2 linked regions of the Saccharomyces cerevisiae S288C genome follow. The protein of the gene in region 1 interacts with the protein of each later gene in a biochemical or structural test. Each region holds a gene or a part of one and is shown on either strand. Other genes may lie near its edges.

Evidence for each region. The genes of interacting proteins can lie anywhere in the genome.
Region 2: the proteins of TIM17 (region 1) and JAC1 form a complex in vitro, tested with the Saccharomyces cerevisiae proteins (one study listed by BioGRID).

What each region holds. Positions count from the first base shown.
Region 1 is NC_001142.9:144,999-148,077, reverse strand, and holds TIM17 (protein transporter TIM17), read right to left. Parts: upstream 978-3,079; coding exon 501-977; downstream 1-500. Other genes in the region: serine/threonine protein kinase YAK1, read left to right, coding at 1-111; IRC9 (Irc9p), read left to right, coding at 1-259; ROQ1 (Roq1p), read right to left, coding at 1,405-1,719; SFH5 (Sfh5p), read right to left, coding at 2,034-2,918. UniProt on the Saccharomyces cerevisiae protein: Essential component of the TIM23 complex, a complex that mediates the translocation of transit peptide-containing proteins across the mitochondrial inner membrane.
Region 2 is NC_001139.9:458,610-461,533, forward strand, and holds JAC1 (J-type chaperone JAC1), read right to left. Parts: upstream 1,056-2,924; coding exon 501-1,055; downstream 1-500. Other genes in the region: casein kinase 2 regulatory subunit CKB1, read left to right, coding at 1-383; ATE1 (arginyltransferase), read left to right, coding at 1,245-2,756. UniProt on the Saccharomyces cerevisiae protein: Co-chaperone required for the assembly of iron-sulfur (Fe/S) clusters in mitochondria. Stimulates the ATPase activity of its specialized Hsp70 chaperone partner SSQ1, to mediate the transfer of iron-sulfur clusters from ISU1 to GRX5.

The DNA of each region.
Region 1 (3,079 bases):
AAAAGGAAGGAGAATACATCTGGCGACATCTCCAATAATTTTGCTGTTACTCATTCTGTTCAAGAAGGGCCAACAAGCGCGTTCAATAAACTTCACATTGTCGAAGAATAAATCGTTATTTTGTCTGACTTTTCTTAACTACCCATTTCATTTTATTACGGCTTGGTGCCATAATGATATACTAAATAAATATGAATTTTGCCTTTTCTTAATTTTCCTTATACGTATAGTCATTACAATTAATAAAGTAACATTATAAAGTTTCTGCACTAGCTTTTGGCTTGTTGATATTTTCTCTTCAGAGATGAAGTATGGTACTTTTTCAATATATAATATGTACATGGTTGAGAGAAATGGTTGGTAATCTTGAAATAAAAGGCTGAAATAAAGTAAAAACGTAAAGGAGGCTAGTGCGATACGTCATTTATGTAACAAAAAACATGCCGAATAAGGGTACTTCCAACAACGATGAAAAAATGGCTCATATAATGTCTACATGCCTAAGCTTGCAGAGGTTGAGAGGAAGGTGCTTCGGGCAAAGGAGGAGCCATAGGTTTGGCTTGCCAAGCAGCATATCTTTGAAACATTAGTCCCACACCTTCAATCACACCCAACAAACAAGCACACGTGATCGAACTGTTCCTTGTATGCCTCCAACCACCTCTTACAGCTAAAGCGCCACCAGTGAAAAACCCTGCAATGATAGCATTCCATGGGTCCTCTCTCTTTCTAACGGCCTTCACAGCGCAATCAAAAGTCGAAAATAAACCACCCCACACACCAAAATTACCACCCAGTACGGGAGCACGCGCTTTAATGGCGCTCATAGCTCCTGAACCACGCTCACCTAATGGCGAATTTCTAAAACCTTTAATCCCATGCCAAACAACACCACCAATGGCACCCATGGCAAAAGCACCACCGAAATCATTTAGTATGACTATAGGACATGGATCTCTCGAATGATCGGCTGACATAACGCTCCCGTGTACTCTATTTTTCTTAACGCTTTCTTCTGAACTTGACTCTTTCACAGCTTTTCCATCTTTTGATGAGAATAGTGCTTTTATCCTCTGGATTTGGCATAAAAATGGAAACTTTGGCGCAAGAATGCCGGGTTACCCACTTTGTTGAACAATAGCAGTAAAAAAGGCGTCCGATGAATGTTCGTTGTATACACCCGAAGATTTCTGTATTCAATGATATATATACATATCTATATGAATATACTATACACTTTATGCACAGAAATTAATGATTTGATAAAGTCCCGCTATCCTTCCGTGGCGCCACTGACAGTGGCATGTTATGAAATGCATATAATCGTTACAACCCCGAACCCGTGCGTGGGCTATTCAGTATAACCCGAATGGTATTGTTAGATATGCTTTATAATGCTGGAGTTCATGAACAACGGCGAGAGTGAACGTCTCCACCCAGACTGCTGCCGTGGCCGTATCGACTGCCGTTTTCATCGTCACCATGATTATTGTTGTTGTTATTATTACTGCTTGTGTTTTCCTGTATGCCTAAATTAGTCAGCTCTACAAAGTAGTATATCACGCCAGGCTGTGTAGGCTGGTTATTGATCCCGAAATCGCCCATGGGAGACTCCTCTACCAAGGAATCCACTCTAGTCTGGTCCCGCTGGCTCCTGAGTATACTACTGTTGCTTTTTTTGTGTGTCCTGTATATTGTTGAAGTTTCCCTCCTTAACATCTTCTTCTTGTTATCTTATCTCTTGTTTTTGCTGACTTTTTTCCCTTGTAAATACCTTTATCTGCGATCTTGTTCACCTTCGGTGCGTTGTCTTTTATATAGGCGGATCTGATCGATCTGTATCCCTATTATTGCCATTACCTTCTAGAAACATTTTCGCAGCCCCTTCGTTTCGTACGGTGTTTTCTGAGCCATATAAGTGAAGATACGTGAGAGATAATACAGTTAGATGGTGATTTACCTGAATATAAGGCAAAAATAAGAAATTATTATAGGGTTTATATAAGAGACTATTATTAGATCATGCCAACAAATCACTCAACGTCCTCGATGATTTGTTTTTGTAAAATGTAAAGGCCGTATTCTGTTGGATGGACATTTGTGACATTTTGCTTGGTCAGATTGTTCTTCTTATCTTTCCCGCCATACCCTTCATATGGGCAATCCTTCAAGTATTGACCCAACTTGCTGCCGTCGGTTAATACCACGAACTTCTTTCTGGTGGTTTCGTCAACGAACTTTTTGATTAAATCGTAAACCCAGCCGAAAACGGTGGGGACATTAACAAAATACTTTGCATATAACAGTTCTGGATAGTATTTTTGAAAGATTCCAATGACCGTCTTGCTACAGTTTTTAATGTCAGAATCCATTCGCCACACGGAGACGCCTTTATAATCGTGGACTTGGGTCATATAGTTGTTGTCGGAGCTGGTGAAATCTAATAAGCTCAAACCCTTTTCCATGAGCCCGATTCTGTAGCGTACAAACTTATCCACATTTTGAAACAATTCTTTTTTTTTGACCAGTTGGCCGTATAAGTTCCAAGTGACAGCCTTTTTATTTGCGTCGCCGTTTGCATCGAATGTCAAAATACCAACGTTTTGCAATTCTGTATTATGGACTTCCTTGTAGGCACAACTCAATGGGTTGAATTCCCTCCTCCAATTCAAAATATCGATCAGGTTCTGTACAATGGTGCTATATTCAAATTGATAGGCTTTGCAAAGTTTGTAGGTTAGACGATCGGCGATTTTTTCGTCATAGTATTTATCAACCTCCTCTTGTGTAAGACCTTCAGGATTCAACTTGTAACCATACAATTCATCGTATCCTGCACATTTTTCCTTGATAATACCAGGAATCGCTTTTTTAAGCTTATCGAAAACCTGCTTCTCACTGTCATTGTCGAATTTCATTTTAAGGATGTTAATTTAGTGAATTAATTACGATTGGGATTCTAAGTAGGAAAAAAAAAAGAGGTACAATTGCAATGTACAGCTCGTTTTTCTTGGTGCGATCACTAATTAGTAAAGCGATGGACATAGTTTTTTTTTTTCATTCCGCCCAATTCTAGCCA
Region 2 (2,924 bases), on another chromosome or scaffold:
AATTTGGAACGTGCCCCCGTTACTATTGTAATGGCATGCAGTTGCTGCCTTGTGGGTTGAGCGATACAGTTGGGAAACACACCGTAAGGTTGTACTGTCCCAGTTGTCAGGACTTGTATCTTCCCCAATCATCTAGATTCCTGTGCTTAGAAGGTGCATTTTGGGGGACAAGCTTCCCTGGTGTGTTCTTGAAACATTTCAAAGAATTGGAAGAGTATGTGGAAAGGAAAAGTAAAGAGTCCTACGAGTTGAAAGTTTTTGGGTTCAGGATAAATGATGAGGCAGTATCTGGTCCTAGAATGAAGTGGTTGAGACAATATCCATCCACGGAGGAGGACTGGGAAGAATTTGCCAAATGCGAGTTCGAGACACCGGCGGTTTAACCCTTGATTTATTTTCCTCTTTGCCCTACCATATACATATGTACTTTACCTATTTACATTGTTTCAGTTTTTATATCACCACTATTATTATTATTACTATTACCACTTTGGAGTACTTTAGTGATTCATTTCCAATTGTTTTCCTGGAGCCCAGTCTTTGAATGCCTTGGCCAAGTTGTACCAGTACTTTAGCTCCACGGTCAACTTCACTGCGGCGGCGTAATCCTTGTCATTGTAGCATTGTCCCAACTGGGCTTCAATATCTTGAATTCTTTCCTTGTTTTGCTTTTCAAGCAGCTTCACACCAGCTTCGTCGTCCATCTGGGATAATTCATCATGGATGTCTAGAACTTTCAATAGTAACTGTGGATCACTGGTAGTTACTTCATTTGAGGTCTGTTCTTGCGTCAAATCGATATTGCGCAAGAGTTTTAGCATATATTGTGACCTTCTAAGGGGATCTTTGAGAGTATGGTAAGCTTGATTAAGAGTTGATGACTGTTCACTACCTTGTTGGGCCATGTCTGGATGGTGCTGTGCTTGTAATTGCCTATACTCCTTCCTTAATCTGGATTGATCGATAGTCCAAATGGGTAGCTTTTTGGGGAAGGTCTTTGGGAACAGCTCGTAAAATGTAGAAGTGAATCTTCGTTGAACCAAGTATTTCAACATTGTGCTTGTGGGGCTTCTTGATACCTGTTTCCATTATCAGCCTCAGCCTTTAATTTCGCATCATCTTTTTAGTTTCCTTTTCTTTTTCGTTTTTTTTTTACCTATTGTTAAGAATTACGCTGTGAGTTTCATTGCTATTGTTACAAAAGACAAGATAGTCTCAAGATACAACTGAGAAGAAGCACAATTATGTCCGATAGATTCGTTATTTGGGCTCCCTCGATGCACAATGAACCTGCCGCAAAGTGTGGGTATTGTCACGGTAATAAGGGGGGCAACATGGATCAGTTGTTCGCATTGGATTCGTGGGCTCATCGTTATATGAACAAAATGGACGTTGTAAAGATTGAAAACTGCACAATTGGCTCTTTCGTGGAACATATGGATGTAGCCACGTATGATCGCATGTGTAATATGGGATTTAGAAGGTCTGGTAAGTTTCTTTATAAAGTGGACCCGTTGAGGAATTGTTGTAGGTTATACACCATTCGAACTGCCCCTCAAGAATTGAATATGACAAAGGAATTGAAAAAATGCATCAGCCGCTTTGCTACTAGAATAACAAGTGAGGACTACTGCCCAGCCGCTGTTGCAAGCAGTGATTTTGTGGGCAAAATTGTTAATGCAGAGATGAATTCTAAAACATTCTATACCCGATTTGAGCCTGCACTTTATAGTGAAGAAAAGTATCACTTATTTGTCAAATATCAGGAAAAAGTGCATCAAGACTACAATAATTCGCCGAAGTCCTTTAAGCGATTCCTATGTGATACGCCCTTTGGCCCTGAAGCGGTGTTGGGGACACAAGAATCATGGGAGCAGTTAAACAATTGGCAGCGAATGAAGCCAGGCGAGAAACTGAAGCATATGGGTCCTGTGCACGAATGCTACTACTATGAGGGTAAATTAATTGCCATCACTGTGTCAGATATCTTGCCCAGTGGTATATCTTCGGTATATTTTATTTGGGATCCAGACTACAGTAAATGGTCCCTAGGGAAGCTCAGTGCTTTGCGCGATCTTGCCATCATTCAAAGGACAAATCTGCAATACTATTACCTGGGGTACTATATTGAGGACTGTCCGAAGATGAATTATAAAGCAAACTATGGTGCGGAAGTACTGGATGTGTGTCACAGTAAATATATCCCATTGAAACCCATTCAGGATATGATTTCTAGGGGCAAACTCTTTGTCATAGGTGAAGAAGAGACGAAAGTTACTAAGGAGCTCTACCTCGTTGACTCTGAAACCGGAAGAGGGGAGGGATTTCCCACTGATAATGTTGTCAAGTACAAGAATATTGCTGAGGAAATATACGGTGTGGGAGGGTGTGCGTTTAAATCTGCAAATGAATCTGCATTGGAATTGAAAGAACTTTACGGTATACCGTACGAAGAGGAAGATTTAGATACCATCTACCATTTGAAAGAACACAATGGCCATGCTCCAAATGGTATTCCTAATGTGGTGCCGGGATTACTCCCGCTATGGGAATTGCTGGACATTATGCAATCTGGCAAGATCACTGACCTGGAGGGAAGACTATTTCTCTTCGAAATCGAAACGGAGGGGATTCGACCATTAATTAACTTTTATAGCGAACCTCCGAATGTCAAGAAACGTATTTGTGACGTGATACGGTTATTTGGCTTCGAAACTTGTATGAAAGCCGTCATTTTATATAGTGAGCAAATGTGAGCCTTCAACACACTATTCTAATAACAATCCTAATGTATAACATTTTTTAGCATTCAAACATTCTCACCATCGCGCTGAGATAATTTTATATAGTTGATGGAATAGTTTTGGAGGTGATTTATCCATTAAATACCTGATGCTTTTTTGTCTCCTCATCGCGTGAAAAAT